Linked DNA regions of Arabidopsis thaliana. The protein of the gene in region 2 interacts with the protein of the main gene of each other region in a pairwise test. Each region holds a gene or a part of one and is shown on either strand. Other genes may lie near its edges. The genes, in order: MYBL2 and AT1G74120.

Region 1 (11,898 bases), 1.1 Mb from region 2:
TTAATTTTATAAATAGAAATGGAAAATGTGTACTGTTCTTCACTTCGACCATAGTATATTTTGTACTATGTGATTTTGGAAGTTTTGAGACCAATGTTTTCTGAGAAAATGACACTTGCGTTAATCGCTCCGATTAATCTGGAAAACTACGTTGTCGAAACATTTTTTCTCAAAGACACGTGAAGAGATTGACTTTTAACGAATTTGAAAACAAAAAGCTGATTTGATTTCTCTTTCTAGGAACAGTAACAACACACGACCTTTATCAAATCATATGAAACATTTTTTTTAACAAAATTAACAAATCAATACAAAGATGAGTCAAAGAGTTCGATTCTCGTTAACTCTTTTGACTCCACCTTCTCCTCAAATGGAAATTAAATTAGTCTTCCAAAAACTCAATAAGATACAGGACATAATAAACAGATCAATAGCCAGCAAAACTAAATTAATTCATGTTAAGGGCTATTTAGAGTGAACCTAATTTTCGGGATGATTTACGGAGAAGCTCTAGTAAAGAATTAGCTTTTCGTTTAGCTCTCTCTGTACCGTCTCTTGATAGTTCCATCAATGGAACAACAGCTCCAAGTCTACCAATGGAGATCAGTTTTTCAGTATCTCTCTTGCAAAGACACAGTAGTATCGCAGCTGCGTTCTCTCGGTTTCGCGGTTGATCCTTCTGGAGACAATCTATCAAAGGTGGTATTGCGTTGGCTCTCAAAATCGCAGTTTTCGCGACTTGGTTACTAGCTAGAACCGAGAGTATGGTCAAGGCTTCATCAGCCATCCTCTCGCTCGAGGAGTCTGTCAGCATTTTCACCAATGGCTTTACTATACCGGCTCTAACTGCTCTGCCTTTGTTTCCCTGGTAAATACACAAGTTGAACAGAGCCGTAGCTGCGTCTTTCTTCCCTCTGACGCTTCCATATTGAAGCAGATCCACTAAGGCCATTATCGCACCTGATGCGCCTATAATGATCTTGTTCTCATCAGCTAACGAAAGACTAAAGAGAGTAGCTGCAGCGTTTTCTCTAGCTTCCATGCTTCCAGCTCGGAGGACTAGCACTATAGATGTGACTGCTCCTGCAAGCATGATCAGTTCTTTGTTGTGTTCGTATATGGAGAGGTTAAGAATGCAAGTGACAGCATTTTCCTGCGTTTCAGTGTCACCATCTGAGGTCAAAAGCTTGACCAAAACAGGGATGGCTCCTGCCTCTGCAATCAGAATTCGGTTGTCTGTGCTTCTTTTTGACAGAGAGCGGATTTCAGAAACCGCAGTCCTGCGGTCTTCGATTGATTGGCTAGAGAGTTTACAAACCAATGCTCGGATCGCTGACATATCTCCACTTAGATCACGGAAAGACCCATCACTGTTTTTGGTCCTACCGTTCATGTAACCACCTGGTTGCTCAATGTTGTGCTTAGTGCACCACTGAGATATCAGGCTTCTGAGGACATAGTTTGGAGTAAGAGTAAAGTTTTCAAGTTTCTGCTGTGTCTTTGGGCAGCTCAGATTTCCACAGTCTATCCATCTCTGAATGAACGACCTCTCGTATGTCTGCCAACGAAGAGAGAAGATCATTGTTAAGGTTTCAAATCAACAACCATACGTTAGCACTATATAAAGATTTGATTTTTTAAACCAGACCTGTCCTGTGGAAACAATAGCAGGATCCTTCATCAGTTCCAGAGAGATTGGACAAAGAAAGTCCTCTGGAATCGTGAGATTATCCGATTTCTGTGAGTCATCGCTGTTCTCGGTAACTGCTTTCTCTAATCTCTCATCATCACCATCCTTTGATAAAAAGAAGGCCAATGATACTGAAGAGCTCTTCCAAGGAGGGGGTGATTCAAATTTCTTCTCATCTGATAAAGAATGCACTGTCTCTGGAATACTCTCCAACTTTTCAATAACTTTTCTATTACTTGAGGCATCTTTCTCCATTGGCTCAGATAAACCACTCGAGAACTTCTTCGAATTTAACGATCCATATCTCTGCATTGCTCTTCTTAACTGTAATCTTGCTAGTTCCACCTAATCACAAGCAAAAAAAAACCCTTAGAAACACCTCCATGGATAGGAAAACCAAATCTTCATACATTCTACATAATGAACAAACTTTTACCTGTTCACGGACTTCGTCAGAGATATCATATCTATCATATGTCAAATCACCTAATGCTTTCTCCAGCTTCCATGTAACACATTGGAACTGGAATGAGATCCTCTTGGCTGCCCCATCCTTCAATCAAAATCACACATCAAAGTTTAGAGAGCTCCTCATGTATATATTAATAATGCTCTTCACTACACAAATGTCAACAATAGTATCTTCCAATCTAAAAAAACTAAAAACAAATTCTTCCTATAAATTACGTTCCTGCCATGGCGAGACCAAATCTTCGTGAAATCACAAATCCATTTTCAATCGTTGAGAATGGTTTAGAATGCTTACAGAGGACTCGCGAGCTTGGAAACTAGTAGCTGAAGACAAAAGACGCTTCGCGGCTTGAAGTCCCACCACAAGATCAGACCACCAATCACATTCATGAGAATTCAACGAAGAAGAAGCATCAGATTCCGACGGCGGAGAAGAATCCCTGATTTCCTCAATCAAATGCGTCAGGAGACCGACTCGTCGCGCGAGATCGGAACAATCCTTCTTAAACAAACCAAAATTCCCCGGAATCTCATTGATTTCAGCAATAAGACCGATGAGAGAATCGGGAGTGATAGCTCCACCAGCCATTACGCCGTCTCACACGGCGGCTTAAAATTCGAATTTTTGTGACTCGCTCTCTCTCTCTCGCTGGCTCGCTTCTGACTCAGAGATGCGTCTCTATCGCTTTTATGTATCCAACGAAGCCATGTGGCGAAAAAGGATAAGTCGCTGTTACGACACCGTTTTGGTTTTAGTGTTTTTTGTTTTAAACTTTTTATCTAACTCTAAAAATGGTTTTTTCTTTTCTTTTTAGTTTACTGGCTTTATATTTTTAGATAAAAGTTTATGTGATACATTTAAATAATACAATAGAACAAACTAGATAATTGAGAGCGAGATTCACGGTGCAAGTAGAGGTTGAAGAGAAAATGATACAGTTGTCAAAAAAATAATCAATTATTATCATTTATATTAGATCAAAACTGTATAATAGAAATGAACTATACTTTTAAATTCAATAAAAAAATCCACTTTTCTATTTATTGAAGAAAATGGTTTGTTGTGTGCTTAGTTGTAAAGTAGATCTTATATGATTGTATTTTATAGTTGTGTTGAAATTTATGTTGGAGTTATGAAATTTATCTGTATGTATTATTTATGTAATCTTAAATGGTAATAAATAGTCAAATTAGTTATTTTTTCTATTTGAAAAGAAACTAAGATAAAATTTCCAGGCCTTTAGATGCATTGTATTGACATGTGTTTCTAGTATATGATCTGTCTTACCCTAGTGTTTATTAAAAGATGGAAAAAATCTTCTTTGTAATTAACTAAATATAGCTTTACATGTTTTATTTTCCCTTAAAAATAACTTTGTATGTGTAAGAAAATTTAATATCTCTTACAGCAAAAATGTTCTAGAAAAATTATGTCAATTAACATAATTTTGGTGAGTATTATATAGCCTGCAAATGGAACGGTCGAACATGACCCGGTAGATCGAATTTTAACAACATTTTAGATAATTTGAAGCATGTATACAAATTGGGACCTATAATTTTCTTAAAACTGTTTTACCACAGTTTAGTATACTTTTGATTAAAATTTATAAACATGACTTACATATAGTTTGTGACAGTCTTGTATTGAAAAGTTATCTCGGTTTAACAAAAGAAAGGTTCAACCACGACATCCACATCATATCGGCCGACGTCCATGCCCGTGACTTCTGCGTCCTACATAACAACCGATAGCAACTTGAAAAATAGACAACATTATCTTTTAGACATTTTTGGCAAGTTTGACTGGCTGGTTTCATAATTATTTTTGGACATATGCAAAAATAAAAAGATCTACATAAAGAAGAGGGTATTCGTCTGAATCAGATGAAGATTAATAACCTTGAAGTGTTTGATGAGGCATGTGATTTTTGCTTGCACATCCACACACAACTCTCCATTAACCACAATACTCACCGTTATTTCTGAAATTTATGGTGTAGTTGTACTTGCGGAACAATATGAAAGTGAAGGTGAGATCAGAGTTTATACAGTTGTGGAAACAACTTCTTTGATGGTTGTAGATCCCGCAATCGTAGAAACAACCTTAATGATGATTGTAGTTTCGATGATAAATATTGGTCCATTTTCTTAGCAAACAATCTCCTCTTCTATACTTGTCAAACATTCATATTCTTTGGTCATGCAATTTTGTTTAATATTTGATGATGTTTGAATAGCGGTTGTACAAATGTATTTACTTTCTAATTTTTATTTTAAGCATGTATGAAGATACTTTAAACAAATTCATTGTGAGTTTTGTTCAAAATATATGTGAACGTGTTTGTACTAGTTGGTGCATATTTGACCGTATAGTCTCCATGCTTAAGACATCCTTAAATCGATACATTTCATTATTTTATAAGTTAACTAATTTGCTTCCTTTATATCTTTAGTAAGTAATTTTCGTATTTATAGATTCCTTTGTGCGAAACGAGAGTTTGAAATTGCTTTTGAATAAAGAGTAAAGTGTAGTTTGGAGGAAAATGAACATACTTGTCCATTTTAAGAGAGTTAATTAATACTTCCCGTCAATGTGCACCGTTAACATTGCTGTATTAGCTATAATTTCTTACAGCTTGATTGATCAAATAAGCAGCGGTTATCGTCGGTTAGTTATTAACGATCTACTATAATACTAATCACTGAAAACAGAACCGGACATTTAAGAGAATAGTTGTTCAATGACCAGCCGGTCCAATTCAGGATTAACATATTTCAAACATCGTTATACCATCTCTCTAGTGAATATTATAATATGTGCATTTGTAATATAACAAATGTGTACAAACAAATACACCATTTCTCATCGGAATAGAAGAAGCGTTTCTTGACCTGTTGAACCATTGGTAGAGGATTCGCTAGAGTCCTGAAGGCAAAGAGCTGGCAAAGAAGTCACGGCCGGGATGAGACCAATGTTTAGGTCAGGCAAATGACTTCGTCCGGTACTAGTACTATCCTCCGAGCAATTGGTACTTGGAATGGGCAAAATTGTTACACCACATGATTCGGATACCGAAGAAGATTGATCACTAATAATCTTGGTTTCATGTTCCTTATGTGAAGAATGGAGGTGACGTCTAGAAATGTAGTTGGTGTGATGGTGGAGACGATGATTGGTTGGGTCGATTCCCATTTTTACGAGCTTCCTTTTTAGGTAAGTTTCCCAATGGATCCTAACTTCGTTGTCGGTTCGTCCTGGCAATCTTCCCGCTATCAATGACCATCTGAAAAAACATAACATCAAAATGATTATTAGCACGTACCGTTCACATTACTATTGAATTAAAGAATAAGAAGAATGAATACGAACCTATTGCCAAGAAGTGCATGAAGCTTGAGGATGAGATCGTCTTCATCTTTTGAGAAGTTGCGTTGTTTAACTTCTGGCCTTACGTAGTTTCGACCTCTCAATCGACATCTCTTACGGTGTTGCATACCTAAGAGAAGGGATCAAAATTTAACAAATTAAAACGATATATCGTCACAAAGTCACGTATGTACACATGTATATCTATGAATTCTACATCGACCTCTTTAAACTATGAATAATTTGGTGATGTGAATAGCAAAACACATGATTAATACTGTTTAAAGAGAAAATAGTTACCGGAAGGTGGGGAGAGAGCACGAAGGCGGGTTTTGTTCATGTCTTTTTCAAAGTGAGATTGGTTGAGTTATGTCTTTTTTTAAAACTGTTGATAGATTGTGAGGTGGTTTGCGAGAAGAAACTGATATATAGGATTAGGGGATGGCTTGAGGAGGTTTGACTTGGACTGGTGGGTTGAGAGAAGCGTGCATGCTCAATCAAACTATTAATGAACGAGGAAGAACAAGAAGAATACATCAACCTTGTTAATTGGTCCCACATTTAGGAGTTGAAACAAATAAAAATTGGTCCCATATTTGTTCAAATCCATTAGAATTTGTGGAATCATGAATGTGGAAGTGTGTCGCATTTAATTTGCCTTACCAATACCAATCCAAATCTCGCTCTTATCCACATTTTCGTAAAATATATGTACGGCTCCGATAGATACCTTTTGTGAAATATCAAAGATGTGTGTGTGGTATCAATAATAGATTCACTAAAATATATATTAAGCAAGAAGAAGACGAAGAAGATATTTGACTAGTGGCTCAAAATTATTTGGATGCATTATTTGATAAAATATCTGAAGCTTCCGAATATGACATGAAAATAAACAAATTAAGAGAAAATAGGAAACCATGAAATTAAAGAGTGTAGGTTCAGGAACAGATAAGGGAGAAACATGGGAGCATTCAATTGAATTTGACTGGTGGTTAGGACTTTGTATACGAGGAATTTTCTAATTTCACTCACCACTTCCCTATCTCACTTACCATCTACTCCAAAATCATATAAGAAGCAAAAGAGTTTTGTTATTGGGCCCGTTAAAGCCCGTAACTGTTAAAAGCCCATTAACAAGCTGCTTCTAATCTCCGAGGCCAAGTGAAAAACAATGATAGAGATATAACATCAATCCAATCGAATTATCTTTTAACACTTTCTGTATAAGATATTTATGTAATCTGAAATCTCAATCTATATCAACTCGTTTGTATTCTGCACTCGTAATTGTAAATTGTTTTCGTTTTAGAATTATAGCACCATTGCAAAGGGCCTCATCATCATATTGTCTTCATGGTCCAATATCTGCAATGCCAATATCATACAGTTAGTTCTAAAAGAAAAAGCTAAATTCGTCATCAACTTTTTAGTATTTTACCAACTTACGTGACAGTGGTAAACATAGCCTGGCTCTTGAGTTGCGTCAAAGGAGTAAGATTCGTTTGAGTGAATGTAAGAAAATCTAACGAGTATCTTCGTTACATGTCCCGGCATCATCTTGAATACGTTTTTCCATCCCCGCTCGTGTACCGTAACCGCGGTCTTGTTCCCTCGTGCGTATTTGCTAATCTCACACTTGACGGCATCGTTTCTTTTAGTCATGCACTCTATGAACTCCTCACTCTTCACCAATGCCGTTTGCTCCAATACTTTAAACAATCCCAAGTGAATGTGCAACGGATGGTTATCCTCGGTTAAGTTTATCACTTCCCACACCTTCATTATTGTAAGCATTAAAGATTTGAACTATACGGTTAGTGAATAGTGAAATTTTGGTTATAAATACCTCGCTTGTGCCGATTTTTGGAGTTTCGGTTACGGGAGCGTTGTAAGGCAGACCGTTGATGTATAGATGTGTTGGCTCGTCAATGCTTGACACATACTCGAACATAGCAATGTAACGTGTACGTGTGGAGGTTGATACATGAGCAGGAGGGTATTCAATTAGCTTCTTCGGAATAATCGACGTGTCAACTTCTGATTTGTAGTTGATTATAAACTTCATGACTTTGCTGTTCTCTTCCGTGACGGGATCTCCCGACGGGTAAGGATAAGGTGCATTGTTGGCAAGAATTGCCGTTTTCGATGTTGACTTTGAAAAGTCAACGAGTACGTCGACAATCTCCGACGGAGCTAGGAGAACAGATTTGGTCGATACTGGTTTCGCTAGATAAGCGGAATCGGAACCAACGACAATGAAGTCGAGACCGTTGGAGAAGAAGAACCGGAAGAACCTTGCGTTACTAGCGTTTGTGATTCGAAATCTATATTTCCGGCGGCGGACGGTTAATCTCGGCCATGCTTTACCGTTCACAATGATGGCGTCGCCGAAATACTCTGGCTGCCATTGTGGATGAATCGTTGGATTGTTCCCTGTAGCGTTCATGTAAATGGAACCATCTTTACGAAAAGATCGGTCAAAGATGACCAAAGGACGATCGAATTCGCGTCCGGTAGGTAACCGAAGAGGCGATTCGACTGAGCTATGACGGAGAATGTAAGAGCCTAACAAACCGGCAAGAAGGTTGACTCTGGTCAACCCTGCCGCGTGGTCATGGTACCACATGTTTCCAGGTTGTTGCTTGTTGACGTAATGTGTAGTCTTTTTGGTCCATTTGGAACCAGTTTCTTTGAAACCAGCGGTGAACCATGAATCTGCATTTCCATCGCTAGTTGGTTCGTGGATACCTCCGTGCAAGTGAACCACCGTGGGAATGCCGCCGTGTTTAGGGATTGCCGGAGAGATTGTTGGGTCCCAAGGGAGGATATGATGTAAAGGGAGGTGATTTCGCCACGTCACGTAGGTGTCGACGCCATAAACAGCTTCTATTGTTGGTCCAGGAACTGTTGCTGAACGCTTTGATGTACCATATGCGAACACTGGCGTGGCAGGCAAGTCTCTGTGGAATTTCTGTACTTCACAATGATTTAACTCATATCAGTGTGTGACAGAGTTAGAGAAATTCAAAAACTTAAATCATTCGAATCATTAGCAGAGTAATAAAATAGTTTAAAGGAACAGAGCACAATTAGCTAGGCCAAAGTGGTAGAAAAGCAATCATAATTATATAGTTAGTGGGTAATAACTTTCTATCAATTAATCATTAGATTTGATGATGTTCTTAGTATAATTTATCAGAACAAAACTTAAAGAGCTTATAGAAACTATAAAAAAAATGTGTATTCATTCGGTAGGAGAGCAAAATAATATTAAATTTGACTAGTTATAAAAGAGCACTGATTCGTCAGTACTATAAACCAATAGATATTTTTCTCAAGAGGACAAATAAGTGAGAGGATAAGAGTGGAGTACACAAGATGAATCAATTCCAAATCACTTTACCAAAAAAGAGCCGTAGCCAACTAAAAAGCACTTAAGTTTTCACTGATCTATACGATTTCGAATATTTAATGTTAATTTTTGTCATTAATGAGTTTAGATTAGTTTATGAACAAAGAGGAATTTGAGTATTCATTCGGTGAAGGGCAAATAATATTCAACATGACGAGTGATAAAAAGTATACAATTATTAATACTTTTTCTCAAAGACGACAAACAAGTGAGGGGACAATAGTGTGAACACAACACGAATCTATTCTAATCACTTTACAACCTAAGAAGAGCCGTAGCCAAGTAAAAAGCAAATTAACTTCACTAATCTTATACGATATCGAATTTAATGTTAATGTTTTTCATTAAGGAGATAATGTTCAACATTAGTTAGTCGGCTTAAGTTGGTCAAGAAAGTTAATGAGTCTATTTTTTTGCATGTAATACAGGTGTAAATCACTAAATGATGGTTATTTGAATTTTCTATCTAAATATTTTGGCCATTTATAACCTCATGACAGAAATGGAAGATGATCTGTTTTCACGAACGACTATAGACTGGAAATTTAATTTAATAACATACCAAATATAACTTCAAGAAAACAGAGAAAACAAGAGGAAAATATATAATAGAGGAAAGAAATTAGAAAACAAGGAAACAAAAATTAGAATATAAGGAAAATGAGAAGAAGGAAAGAATTAAATACCCATTTCTTGAAGAACATGCCTATGTGAAGAGATTTGGGTTTGAGGAAGCCATTGACGAAGTGGTAGCCATGAAGTGTTGGTATATGAGGAAGCTTGTCAACGAACATCTCAAGCTTCCCAAGATTAAACAGTCGCTCCTCTTGCTTTATGCCTCCTTCGTCTCCGGTTACGAGCCATGCCATCGTTACGATTAGAAGCAACATGTCTCTGGTCATTCTCCTCCGAGAAGGCTCCATGTCTTTGTCCTTCACGAGCTGTCGAAATTATATGAGAAAAGTCAAGTGTGTGTGTGTGTTTGTATGTGTGGAATACTTAAAAGTTGAGGAGAGAAGTTGAAGAAGTTCTTTGGGGTTTTGCGTATTTATGCATACGAGTGTGTGGTGTCAAATAACTTTGTTGTTCTTTGCTTTCATTCTCTTGACTATTGAGTCGCTACTTTCCTAGAATTTATCTTCCAAAAAGGAATGGTTTTTTTTTTAATTAGTAAGCTTCTACATTATAAAACTAGAATTTGAATATTATATGTACATGACAAGAGTATTGATTTTTCTTAAAAAATGAATATATATATATACGTATATAATATATCCATTAATTATATGGTTTATATCTATCAAAAATTAACTGAAAATTAAACAGGGTTCATACTTCATAATTCTTTTTGTGAATAACAAGGTTAATAGTTCTGTCTTCTCAAATGGATCTTTTACGAAAAAATCAACATTCTTCTAATGGAACTAATACAAGAAAGAAACCATGGAAACTTTTGGGCCTAGTTCGTCCACTATATTTCGTCCCGTTATTAAGATATTTTCTCTAACTTACGCGTTACAAAAAAAATTAGAATGAGTTTTTCCAATCTCTCAAAAATTGTCTTAACCATGTTATCGTTTTAGCTCCTTCAGCCTCCCGTAACATGCATTATCGCAGACCTATAATGGTTAAAGCTAAGGTTATCATCCAAGCTTGTGGGAGGTCTCACAAACATTCCTTCACTAAACAGATCTTTATTCGCATGTCCAAACACCAAATTTCAACCATTGAAATTTGTAGTTATGTTTGCCTTAAAGGTCGAACCATTTCTCTGCGAGTTAGCCGAAATCTAGCAAACCTAATGTTCTCTAAAACTAATTCTTTTTGTTTTTTCTGTTTTTTTTTATAAACTTTTTCTTCATTAATATTGAAAGTAGCGAAAAAGTAACCCATCAGTCTATAAAAGACTGACAATATAAAATATACCTAGCCAGGCCCAAAATGAACCCAGCATCAACAAATAATTTTTCAAAAGGGAGAATCAAAAACAGCCCAAAAACCTAACATATTCTTTATTTGTTACAAGTTGGAACTATAGTTCCTTTTAAACTTCTCTTGATGCTACTCCAAAGATTATCATCTAGCATGAGTTCTAACGTAAAAAACACGCAAATAGTGGTTATACATATATATATATATATACTCTATGCTTTTCATTTGAATACACATCATATATTATACAACTACAATATATATTCATGCTTTTAAAAAATAATTCAGACAAATCCAAGAAACCTAAAAATTAAATTTAACAAGAAAATACACCAAATTAACTTTTTGAAGAGTGTGAGGAAAAAAATCAAATTAAACCAAAATTAATCAATTTGACTCTGAATCAACAAAATTTAAAACAAAATCAACCATTATATATACAAAGTTCCTATTATATACAGATTTTGTGATCAATCCAGTTCTACAAATTTCAGGTTTGGTTCGTTTTTGGTTTCACAGATAATTGCTAGTACTATTGACTTTTGAGCCTGTCTATGTTTTGGTGTTCCTAGTCAAAATGACTGGAAGCCGTCGATGTCTGGGGTACTGTACACGTGGAGGTTATCCAAAAGCCCATCTCCCACCTAGCTAAAAATGCGGTTGTCGCCATCAAACGACGATTTTACCTTAAGTCCCACCTTGATATGTTCAAACGCGCGTTTGCGTTTTCCCTTCGTGTGCCGCTTCTCATCTCTCCATTTGTTTGCGTCCTTTTCACAGTTTCAAATCTAACATATCCATTTTTGTGTTTCAACTTTCGAGTTATGCGAAGTCATAATTTAATAATCAGTCATATCAGTTTCGTCCCAAACAGTTGATTTGAAATATCCAGCGAGATACTTAAATGTCATCTCATCATAAGCACCATAATATTATGAAATTTCAAATTCTAATATTCTTGGGATTTTATTTAAAGATCACTCATTCTAAGGATTAAACAGGTGTTTGTTTTACGTGAGG
Region 2 (12,732 bases):
AATAGCAAAAGCTGTTGTAGATAATGTCACACCTTATCGAGTTGAGAAGCATCTTGATCTTTGGCATCAATGGTAACGGCAGCGGTTTCTGCTTCATGTGTTCCCTCCATGTTCACATTAGCATCGACAGTGTCAATCATGGGTGTGTCCGTATCATTTGAATCTGCAACCTTCTTGTTAGTATCATCAGAAGGATCAGTAGGACCAGCTTGTTGGCTACTACCAGCTGGATCCTTGCTAAAAGTTCTTGGTATCTTTGCTCTATGATCACAATCTCCATCTGACGTAGCAGGCCTTTCCCTGTTAACAATCACAAATAAACCATGCTTTAGAACAAAGGGGACACAAGAGAAACTATAACCTAAGCAAAAAAGAGAATAATAACTAACACTTGCCTACTACTAATGCTTGAATCTGCAATTCGCACAGAGCTGTGTCTGTTTGAAAACAAAACACCGCGAAGAACCTTTCCATCAATGATCGTTTCTATAGTGTAACCTAGAGGGGCGTTTTCAGTAACCCTGGCTTGAAACATCGGTTTTCTTTGATCAATATAGCCAATGTTCAAAGGGACATTCTCTCTTCCTACAATAACACCGTATACAATAAATGCTACATTTTTTGTTCCCAAGATAATGTCGATTAAAGTAAGAGTTCATGTTAGCACACCATGGTCAATGTTGGTTTTGGCCACAGTTAATTCCTGCCCTTGGCATTTTAGCTTCATTTGTTTCCTTAGAGACGATCTCCCTGGATTTTGATGAAACCGGACATCGTATCTACCTTCTATTAGCCATAAGCAAAGAAGATTAGGAGAATAATTAGCAACCTTGCACAAAAGCAAATTTGCTATAACCAAATACAGAATATTAGCTACAGATACTGAAGAATCAGAGAAAACCCGATAGGTCCTAACAAACCTGTGTGTAAGTAGTAAATGTCATCCAACGGCTCAAGATTCTTATTGCAGCCACCAACAAAGAAAAACGAACCAGCCTTGTAAGGATCTAAACAAACCGCTGCAGAAGAGAATCTAGCAGATGGCCCTTCTACCATAGCAACAACCTTGGACCATACACCCGTTTCTACAGAGACAACCCAACAATAATAATTATTTTGACTTCAGAGACTATTGAGAATTGAAGGCTTGTCATTAGTGAAGCTTTTGGTTACATACCCAAATCAAGCACATATAGATCATCATAAAGATTTTGAGAATCCGTAAACCCTCCAAAGACAAATAAGTTCCTCTCAAGTGCAACAGTTACATGACCGGCTCGAGGTGTTAACACCTGTCCTGAAGTTTTCAATTCCTTCCAAACAAATTTATCTGAAAATACAGAACCAGAATATCAGAAGAAATACACACAAGCATTACAAGATGTGCTTAAAGAATGATTTTTGCACCTGTATCAAGGATATGAACATCAGAGAGATAATAGTCATCCAAATCTTCACCACCTACTACAATGATTTTGTTCTTCCACGCTGAGCAAGTGTGGCTATCTCGTGCAGAGGGCGGTTTCCCAGATGTTACAGCACGTTTCCACATGTAAGTTTCTAAACAAGATTAAAGCCGGTTCAGTTACACGCATGCCTCCACGAAAATGACATCAAATTTTTATAATTCAAAAATTAATGCACATTGTGGCTAACATCCAATATGTATGTCAATGCTCACATAAGGAGTCAGTTGAAAAATGCCCATTCTCTAATCTCTCTCAGATTCCATATCAGTTGACTATAGATAATATATGAAGAGGATTAACATGGAAACTAAAAAAAGCAGCCTAAGCAGTATACCTGTATTAAGTATGTAAAGGTCATTATAGAATACTTCATCATCCGAATCAGAAGATTTCCCACAGCCGCCAAATATGAAAAGACGTTTGTCAACAAGCGCTGCACTATGAGCCTCTCTAACCCTTGGTCCTTCCCCTCTAATATCCGGACGTATCCAAGTGTGTGAATCTACCACACACAAAAAAAGAGAAGCAAACCCAAAAACAAAGAATTGGATTCAAACTCAAAAACGTCAAACCAGGAACAGTTAACACAAGCATTTTTTTAATCTAACCGGGTAACAAAAGAAACGATGGAAGAGCTTACAAGTATCAAGGATGTGCACATCGTTGAGATATTTGGTCCCATCAGTACCACCAAACACAAAAAGGTTATCACCAACTGTTGTACAGCTATGACTGTCCCTCGGGCAGGGCGGTACGCCATTGATTTCAGGTCGAATCCATATCTGCGTCTCTGCAACAAAATTGCCACAAATGAGACTAGTTTCAACAATGAAAATTTTGAAAACATGACTACGAGTAAACCACAAAATAGCATCCCAACAAATAGTATATATTAAATCTTGAAAAAGGATCATAAAGTCCAAATCATTCAAGTAAGGTATAACAAAGAAAGAAACATTGAGTAGGTTACTAAAGGACAAAGGAAAAAGATCAAGATTTGCAACAAAATAAGATAAGTTTGTGGGAGTGGGGTCTACCGCACGAGCAAATTGAACAAAATCATCGATACATACAGAGATCCTCAAAGATTAAGACTTTATGCAAAACCCACTAAGAGAATCGACGCACAAGAACTGATATTTGTAGAAAAGATACTAACCAGCGTCGAAGACATGAACTTGATTTGTTAAGCAATTGTCTCTGCCAAAGCCACCAAATACGTAGAGAAATCTGCCGCCTTTAATGGCGTTACAAGTGTGTCCCCATCTCTTTCCGGGGCCGAAAGAAGAAGAATCACCGAGACCCACTTGTTGGACCCTCTCCCACCTCATTGTCTTGGAAGAAAGATCCTTCCTTTGCGTTGAGAAAGTGCGGGAAAATTAAGGGTTTTGTGGAATAGAAGATTATAAAATTGAAGACGAGAAGAGGAAAATCCAAAATCCCAAAATTATTTCTTTAATGGTAATGGCGATACAGAGGAATATAAAGGTGATTCCTTTGCTTTAGGTTTTTCTCTAATAACAATGTATTAAAGTATATACACTCTAATACACGATTATTGAAACAATGGTTACTGCAAAAGAAAAGAAAAAAAAAAAGAAACAGTTACCGAAATTAAAACAATGGTGCGACGACGTAACTGAATAAATGGACTGATTCGTGATAAACGGAGCCTTCTTTACTTTTTTATGTTGAGCTTTAATTCGAATGAGTAATGATGTCAACAACAACAACAAAAATAATCCAATGAGTAATCTTTCTTACCTTAAAGTCTATGTGTCCAATGAGTAATTCGTGGTACCCGTAATTAATTGTTACATACACAAATTAATAATAACATGGTAAAAGTCTAAAAGAAATTAACGTAACGGCATAGTTAAATAGAAAATTGTCAAAGGAAATATATTGAATATTTTTGCAGTTAATGGAGTAAAATTCATTGTTTGTCCTATATAATCTTTGTGATTGACGTGAAAAGACAACCATATCTTGGGGATGAGACTTGGAATAAATGTCAAGACATTAACCTTAAGATAATCTACAATGTTCAAATAAAAGTTCCAATTTTGACGATAAAGAGAGAAAAAAAAATAGTTTCCAATGTAACCAAACGGTCCAAACCCATCAAATTGATCTCTTGGTTTCAGTTTACAAAACAAAAGTCCAACCCAAACGAAAAAATGTTGACAAAAATCTCATTTGTCACGAAGTTTAACATAACTTGCATGATGATGATCAGGTCCACTGAATCTTTTGCAGCAAATCAGTTCAGTATCAAAATCGACCTTTCTTTATCCGTGCCCACGCCATGGCAGCAACCACAACTCCTCCCAACTGACCCGAACTCGATGCGATATGGTTCGGTCCCCCCTGCATTCCCAAAAAAGTTATGGTTAAGAGATAGTCATATATAGTGTTTCAAAGCAAATGCGGATTAGGTTTTCAGATTATACACACCTCTGGAATATTTAAAATCTCGACTCCTAAGTTTATGATTCGCTGAAGATTAAAGAGTGCGAGTTTTTTAGTTGGTTCACATGACTTTCACTCAATAAGAAGAGTATGTAGAGAGTTCTTACAAACATTACATGCACTCGGAGCATCAACGCAAAGTATGTTGTAACTTTTGGGTAGATGAACATATCGAGAAGCGCGATGGCAAACATAGATCCATCAGCACCCTGTACACAAATAGGAAAGAGTTTACCTCATCGGCATTTGGTGATCCAAAAACAAGTGCATGTGCATTTTCGTCTCACTCTCTATATCTATCAACCAAGTCTGTTCATGCTCAGACAAATCATTTAGTTAGGTGAGTACGAACATACCAGCAGCTGCGAAATGGGGGCTGTTGATTGATGATCCTTAATGACAACTCCTTCACCCTGTATGATTGACCAGCCAATATCAAAGGTAAAGCATTTCGTTTAATCTCCAGAGGTAAAATCATTTAGTCTAAACCTCAAAACTTCGTTTTGCACATATAACATGTACTGCAAATGAAATGCAACATGATCAATGAAAGAAACTATCAATCTGTGGACCTTGTTGGGTAAGCTTCAAGTCTTGAAGCCCAAGACAACTTAAACAAGTCGGTTTAAGTTATGTCAAAAAGAGTAATTATCTAGTTCAAGAAGAAAAGGAAAAAAGGAGTTTCCTAATTCATGTAGGACTAGGAATAGGAAATTGCAGTGTGTGCTAACCCTATATATATGTTTGTTGAGTTGTGGCAAACATAAGAGAAAACATTAAAAGAGCTTTGGTGTTTAGTTTTTGAGAGAGTTTTCTAATCATCAATAAAAGAGAGTTATTCTTTTAAAAGCTTTTTTATAGCATGATTTAAGGAAACTTGCTATATACCTTGAGTGTAGCCAAGAGGGCGTGATAACTCAGGAAGCAAACAGAGCCACCAAGTGCTCCAGCAAAGTACAGCTTCAAAAGGTAGAGCGGTCCCAAGGTTCTTGCAATCTAATAGCAACAATGGATTTTAGAGATGAAGATAAATAGTTAATTCAATGGATAGATCAGCAGGTAGCAAATTTCCCAAAAAGAACCGACTTAATAGTATCTAGCTAAGGACTTTTCTTTCTTAAGTATATTAGCTATTAGTGAATGTGTCTCCAATAAAGTGAAAGTAGCCACTTCATAGGAAACAAATGAAAGCATTTCTCATCTCATTTACAAAAATCGAATATTGAGAAGCATTTTTCTATGGAGAAACGACAAGGAAAGATAATTCATACTCTGGAGCCGAAGTAGGAGATTCCAATCATGTTCAAGATGATTTGACTGGTACCAATATGACTAAAACCCGAAGTTATCAGCGTGTGTATATATCCACTCGTAAAACTGTACGTTGATAGCTGCTCAAAAATCAAGGTTCAAACATATCAAAGATCAACCAAATCCAAGACAAGAGCTTAGCAGTAATATGTTAGACCACAAAATTTTTCACCATCCAGCTCCTGTCTGAAACTCGCCACATTGTAAATACAGCAGCATTAGCTATTACCAGTCCAAAAACTACACCATTAGCTCCATTGATCCAAGACTTCCTGCCAGAGGAAAACACAAACCAAAATCAACTAGAGCTGGTGAAGAATTTTAAGATTCTGATGTTATTTCTATATCTGGAGAACAAAGTTTTAATGAGAAGGGTGTGTACAGTGTCGAGCTGCTAGTCTATCTATAAAGAGAAAATCATCAAATGAACGTTGCGCTACTCAAATCAACAACTACACAGAAATGGCAAAATAGCAAGTAAAGCCTACTAATTTCTCATCTTCTTCTCTGAAATTCTCATACATGTCGTATGTCTTGGACGAGCCAAACGTGTACTTAACCAGAAAAGCTTAAAAAGGTCGATAATTTACCACAGAAACTCTGTTTAAACCCTAAATCAAAACCAGAAATTTCATCCGGAAGACAAGTTTATCTCAGAAAAATGTAGACTTTTACTTAGCTAACGAGAAACAGAGGATCATAGAGAAAAGGAACTCAGAAATTTCAGAACTTTTCTTAGGAAAGCTTCGAACTTTACTTTGAAACCCAGCAAAATCACAAAAAGAGAGACGAAAAGAAACGATTCCATACCATCCCCGCTTTTGAAACCCAGTAAAACCACCAGACTCGAATCCATGACTAGGAAGCTCAGAACTGAAGAACCCAGCTCTAGATTCCATAACATTTCCAAATTTCAGCTTTAGGTTGGTGTTTCCCAACTTGCTAGCGAAGAACCCATGAACTTTCGCCGATCGCGATACAGCAGAAGGAACAAAGTGGGGTACTGAAGAAGGAGATGAGAGGCGAGAAGGAAGAAGATGGCGACTCTGGTTTGGCTTCTTCTTCACCATTTTGGTTAGCTGCGATTGCGAAGAAGCACCAACGTTGACGACGACCTTGCGAGAGAAGCTCGAGAAAATCGCATGCATTTTTTCTCCTTTTTCTTCGGAATAAATTTTCAATTTTTTATACCAAATGCATGAACTTCTGATTGTTTTATTGTCATGAGACACCATGAGGTATGTGTGTTAAAAACGTCACCTTTTTTTTAGTGCAATCAAAAGTGACGTCACACTAAACACTAGTAAAATAAAATAAAATCACATGCTCATTCCCGTTTAGGAAAGTTGTAAATTTAAACCATAACTTTTCCATCTCCAAAATCACAATTTACATACATCAAATTATCAAGTAACCATAACCAGAAACTGCTATATCTTATTATTCATCTTCTCGCTATTGCTGCAACCGCAATAGTGTAAAAGAAGAATCAAAGCAAATTCACCATCAAATCTTGTACTAGAAATCGGTTAAGTAGTCTTTCACAAACTCACATAATGAGATTTACTCGACATCAAAACAATTATGTAATTGGACACTGAACAATTCCTAGAATGTACCCAAGTGACTAGAATCTACTCTCTCTCTGTTCTCTATAAAACGGCTAACTTAAACAAAGTCACAAAGATCCTCAACTTGACAAAATGAGGAAAAATTTGCATTTGTCTTTTCACAATAATTTTTTATAATCTTTTTGGATATTCTCATAAGTATTTATTTGCATGTTAGTACTATTTGTAAGGAAAAAGGATTTAGTCTTTATAGTTTAGGTTTGTCTATTTTAAAGGAATAGATAATTCGTTGTTTTTCTGTATAATCCTTGTGATTGACTTCAAAAGAAAACAATAGCTTGGTGAGAAGACTTGGAATAAATGTCAAGACAATAACCTTAAGATAATCTTCAATGTTCAAATTTTGACGACAAGAGAATAAGAATTAGTTTACTTTGGAAACGAAGGTTTCCAAAATGTGCAGGCCAAACGTAAAAAATAGTAATAATAATAATCTCATTGTCACAAAGTTTAACATAACCAGTACTCCAGTAGTATAATGATGGGACAAGTTATATGAATCTTTTGCAGCAAGTCCAAGGTTTGATGGAGAAAGTAAAATAATCAATCAGTAGCAGAATCGACCTTTCCTTATCCTTGCCCACGCAATGACTGCAACTACAACTCCTCCCAACTGATCCAAACTAGTCAAGGTATTGTTGTTTTTCCCCTGCATTCCCAAAAAAGTTGGTCTGGTTTAAGATATAGTCATATAGTCTCAAAGCAAATGTGGATTAGATTCTCACATCATACACACCTCTAGCATCTTTATAATGTTGAGTCCTAAGCTATAGATTCCCTGAAGATTAAGAGAGTGAGAGTATTTTAGATGATTCAGAAACGTTTCACTCATTATGACGAGTATCTAGAGAGACCTTACAGCAAATACAGGCACTCGGAGCATCAACCCAAAGTATGTAGTAACTTTTGGGTAAAGGAGCATATCGAGAAGCGTAATGGCATACACAGGTCCATTAGCACCCTGTACACAAATTGGAAAGAGTTTGACCATCCAAAACATGAGCGTGTGCATCTCTGTTCCAGTCTGTTTATACTTTTAAAAAATAATTTAACTGGATGAGTGAAAAAACATACCAGCTTCCCAATGGGGACTTTTAATTGATCCTTAGGGACAACTCTTTGGCCCTGTATGATTGATTAACCAATAACAAAGGTAAAGCATTTCGTCTAAACCTCACAAACACATAGAGAACATGTACGTAGTACAAATGCACTGGAAAAACTACACATCTGTGGACCTAGCATGGTTAGGAAAATGAGAAAATTATGCTTGTTGCACTATACCTTGAGTGATATAACCGAGAGAGCATGACTACTCAAGAAGAAAACAGAGCCACCAAGTGCTCCAGCAAAGTAGAGCTTCAAAAGGTAGCGCGGCCCAAAGCTTCTTGCAATCTAAGAACAAATGGGATTCGATATAAAGATCAATAGGTAGCAAGTTTTTCTTTTTAAACGAACTAAGGACGGTCCTTAGATGAGCCAGATTAAGTGTAAGTAGCCGGTTCATACTTCATAGGAAACAAATGAAAGCATTTCTCATTTCGTTTACGAAAATTAATATATGGAAACAAGGAAAAAATCTTACTCTGGCTCCGAAGTAGCAAAGCCCCATCATATTCAAGATGATATGAGTGGCTCCAACATGACTGAAACCCGAAGTGATCAGCGTGTGTATACGTCCAGTCATAAAACTGTACCTTGATAACTGTCCAAATACCATATGGTTAATAATACATGTAGATTTTTTATTTTTAAAAAAGTTGTTAGAATTTGATGAGGTCAGACCATAAAATTCTTCACCATCCACATATTGTCCTTGCCTAAAACCCGCCACATTGTAAATACAGCAGCATTAGCTATTACCAATCCAAAAACTACACCATTAGCTCCATTAATCCAAGACTTCCTGCCAGAGTTAAACCAATAAAGTGGTTTTTTCTTTTTGGTATTAGTATCCAAAATCAAATGGAGCAGGTAAAGAATCTAAGATTTTTGATGTAGGAGAACAATTTTTTAAAGGAGAAGGTCTAAACAGTGTCCAGCTTGCTATTCTATGTCTTATCTATAAAGAGAAAAGCATCAAAAGAGCTTTGTGCTGCTCAAAATCAAGAACTACGCAGAAATGGAAGAAAAAAAAAGCCTACTAATTTCTCTGAATCCTGACACGTCTTTTACTTGGAAGAGCCAAACGTACAATTGACCAGAAAAGCTAAAGAGAGTTGTGAAAAAAGGTCGATGCTTTACCAAATAAATCCTGTCAAACCCAGAAATTTTATGGTGAAGACAAATTTATCTTTGAAAAATGTAGTTTTTACTTGGAAACAAATAGGTACAATATAAAACAGAGGACCATAGAGAAAGGGGAACTCAGAATTTTTCTTAGGAAAGGTTCCAACTTTACTTTGAAAAACAAAAAGGGAGAGGAAAAGAAACGATACCATCCACGTTTTTGAAACCCAGTAAAACCACCAGACTCGAATCCATGACTAGGAAGCTCAGAACTGAAGAACCCAGCTCTAGATTCCATAACATTTCCGAATTTCAGCTTCAGATTGGTGTTTCCCAACTTCCCTGCGAAGAATCCATGAACTCTCGCCGATCGTGATACAACATAAGGAGGAACAAAGCGGGAAGAGAGATCAAAAGGAAGAAGATGGCTCAGGGAATGGCGACTCTGGCTCGCCTGCTTCGTCACCAATTTGGTTAGCTGCGGGGAAGAGCAACCGACGGCGACCCTGCGACAGAAAATCGCATGCATTTCGAAACTAATTTCAAATGTTTTACCAAATGGCGCAAAAATAAGAGAATAGCATCAACTTCTTCTGATTATTCATGAAAAGTGTGTGTTTCAAAAACTCAGGTCTTTTAAGTGCAATAAAATAGTGATGTAAATGTAACAAGAAGTAACAACTTTCTTTTTTTAGGTAAACAAAAGATTCCCTCCGGTTTAGGGAAATTGTAAATATACAACTTCCAACTTTCATTAAACCATGACGTTCCCATCTCTAAACCACAATCCCACTCAAGACAAGGTTAAATGTCTTACAAAACAAATAGTGGGTGGCATTTTCGGAATAAGATGAAACATTGAGGGTACAAATAATAATCTTAATTTTGTACACGTCGTCATCGTCTTTCTTCCTCCTTCGTACAGTGATTGAGTGCCTTGAAACTAAATAAAAAAATGGCCTCAAAACTCAAAACCTTCATCAATCTCCGTGACTACCCAATAACCCTATTCAACCAGATTCGATCACTATCCTCACGAATTCTCACACCTATCAATCAATCTCACTACAGGAAACGAATTTTACTCGCGAATCTCCTTCAGAGGTATGGTTTCCCTCCTTCTTCTCTTCAGCACTTCCTCTCAAGAAACAATCACCTATTGAATTCGGACTTAGTAGAAACCGAAATTTCTCTCGGCATCCTATTGTCATTGAAAATCCCTCAGAAATCACTCGTTTCGTTGATTTCCGATTGCCCTAATGTTCTGCGATCAGAGTTTCTGAGGAAATGGAGAGTTCCTCTGTCTAATTGCGGTAAACACGGTGTCGTCTCATCTTCTGCGATTAAGAGCGTCCTTGAACATTCTAGTAGAATTGGGATTGGTCCAGATAAGTTTAATGAGTGCGTAAGGGTTTTGAAGAGTTTAGGGTTTTGTGATAGTACTGTGAGTAGGATTTTAAGTTCATTCCCTGGTGTTCTTTTAGTGAATGAGATTGAAATTCGTAGGAAGATTGAGTTTTTAGTTGGAATTGGCATTGCTCGAGATAACATTGAGAGGTTCTTTCACGTTTTTCCTGAAGTTCTAGGGATTGGTACTGAGACTAGACTTAAGCCATTGCTTGATGAGTTCATGAAGATGGGGTTTAGTAAGGATGATGTAAAGAAAGAGATTGCTAGAGAACCGAGAGTTCTTGGTTTGGAGTTAGGTGAGCTTCCGCGGTGTTTGGAGTTGATCAACACATTGAAATGCCGGGAAGTGATTAGAGTTAGTATAATCAGCGAAGGAGCATTTCGTGCTGGGTTTGAAGTGAAGCTCAGAGTTGATTGTTTATGCAAATACGGGTTGATTCGTAGAGATGCATTCAAGGTTGTATGGAAAGAGCCGAGGGTGATCTTATATGAGATAGAGGATATAGAGAAGAAGATTGAGTTTTTAACTAACAGAATGGGATTTCATATCAATTGTTTAGCTGATGTACCGGAGTATCTAGGGGTTAATCTTCAGAAGCAGATCGTTCCACGGTACAATGTCATTGATTACTTGAAACTAAAAGGTGGGCTTGGCTGTGATATTGGATTGAAAGGTTTGATCAAACCAAGCATGAAAAGATTTTATAATTTGTACGTGATGCCATACCCAGAGTGTGAAAGAATCTTTGGAAAGAGAAAAGAGAATGTCCGAGTGAATAAACGACATCCCGCAGGGCTTTGGAAGCTTATGAAGCCGCCTAGCAATCTAACAACAAAAGAAGATGTGCAGAACATGAAGTCCTTTATAGAGTCACTTGCTTAGTATGTTGGATCTTGGACTTGCCTCTTACTAGATTGAAAGAGATCGGCCACTCTCTAGAGGGTTCTTGCTCCCTCACTTTGCTATGAGCTGCTCTGAATTGATATGGGTTATCAGGAACTTTCAGTGACTATCGAATCTGATCTCAACTCGCTCGAGTTCATGGCTTGATTATTCAAAGGACAATGCATACTCCTGAATAAGCCATGCTCACTTCTCGTTGTGCATCTTGGGAAGACATCTACCAATGCCATTGCCTTCGTTTCCATGTCTCTGCCTGATAGATTTGCTGAGCAAATGTAATTGGACTTTGGTTCTAAAAAGTCAAGTGCCATGTTCCAACTTCCAACTGTAACTACTAGTTAGGGATGTTACGTGGGCCGAGCCAGGCCGGCTAGTAGCCCGTTTTGGCAACTTTTATGCTAGGCCGATTCATCTGTTCCGTGATCCATCCCAGACAAACCATTTGTTTTTGGCATTTATACCAAAAATATTTGTTTCCAACAATTTTTTTTCTTAAACATTATTTTCAAATGTTTTACGTAAAAGCTCTGTTAACAAGAAACTTAGATTTATGTATGGAAGAATTGGTTATACATGAGTCAGTAAGTCATGAAATCTGTATAATGGGAAGAAGTTAATCAGTTAAATCTTATTTATTCCAAGAGGGTGATTGGAGAAAAAAAGAAGAAGAAGAGAGTTATTGGTAACTAGTGTTATTTATGTATTAATGAAGAAGAGAGTTATTGGTGTTATATATGTATTAATCAATCACAAATTGTACTACTAGTTAATTATGTAAGTAAAATCAATTGAAATGCAATATTAAATTTCCATGAAGATTTTAATTATAGAGAAAATTAAACTTTTCTATACATAGATAGATTACATGGTTCAATAAAAATTATTGTGAATAACAAGAAGTATTTAAAAAACGAAACTTATACTCTAAAAAAAAAAAAAAAAAAAAGACCAAGTGTTAAAAGGCTTGTAATGTAAGAAGCGACAGTTGGTCAAATAACATCTTTGACTTGGTCAACGTATTTTAACAACGGTTTTCTGTTAGAAATGGACTAATAGTATTAACTTACAAAAGACACACCCGATTTGTGAGTTGTGACATTTGCTTTGTCCTTAAGTATCACCACAAGCCAGCTTATATTGTCTCTATAGTTAGACAACCTTTGACCTTATTATACATACGTATATATGGAGCTTTTTTTTCAATTTCATATGGCATATATTTGTGTCACTGTGTGTGTGGTATCAATGTTCAAGGGAGACAGTTTTGTGGTTAACGAGGTCGATGCTTTGTTTGGTCCATACCCTG

Evidence for each region.
Region 1: the proteins of AT1G74120 (region 2) and MYBL2 interact in a two-hybrid assay, tested with the Arabidopsis thaliana proteins (one large-scale study listed by BioGRID).

Annotation. Positions count from the first base shown.
Region 1 is NC_003070.9:26,790,356-26,802,253, forward strand, and holds MYBL2 (MYB-like 2), read right to left. Parts: upstream 6,175-11,898; 5' UTR 5,872-6,174; coding exon 5,832-5,871; exon of another isoform or gene 5,662-5,831; coding exon 5,535-5,661; intron 5,449-5,534; coding exon 5,028-5,448; 3' UTR 4,697-5,027; downstream 1-4,696. Other genes in the region: AT1G71020 (ARM repeat superfamily protein), read right to left, coding at 470-1,558, 1,649-2,035, 2,127-2,243, 2,457-2,750; LPR2 (Cupredoxin superfamily protein), read right to left, coding at 6,846-6,899, 6,981-7,310, 7,381-8,505, 9,633-9,869.
Region 2 is NC_003070.9:27,870,596-27,883,327, reverse strand, and holds AT1G74120 (Mitochondrial transcription termination factor family protein), read left to right. Parts: upstream 1-9,995; 5' UTR 9,996-10,067; coding exon 10,068-11,405; 3' UTR 11,406-12,154; downstream 12,155-12,732. Other genes in the region: AT1G74150 (Galactose oxidase/kelch repeat superfamily protein), read right to left, coding at 33-300, 390-585, 670-786, 921-1,085, 1,178-1,330, 1,408-1,560, 1,804-1,971, 2,110-2,259 and 1 more; AT1G74140 (Rhomboid-related intramembrane serine protease family protein), read right to left, coding at 3,744-3,839, 3,927-3,968, 4,049-4,150, 4,298-4,354, 4,830-4,937, 5,213-5,332, 5,425-5,524, 6,063-6,400; AT1G74130 (Rhomboid-related intramembrane serine protease family protein), read right to left, coding at 7,431-7,532, 7,620-7,661, 7,743-7,844, 7,958-8,008, 8,168-8,278, 8,469-8,588, 8,669-8,789, 9,322-9,641. UniProt on the Arabidopsis thaliana protein: Transcription termination factor required for mitochondrial NAD2 intron 3 splicing and normal membrane respiratory chain Complex I activity. Essential for normal plant growth and development. Binds to RNA but not to double-stranded DNA.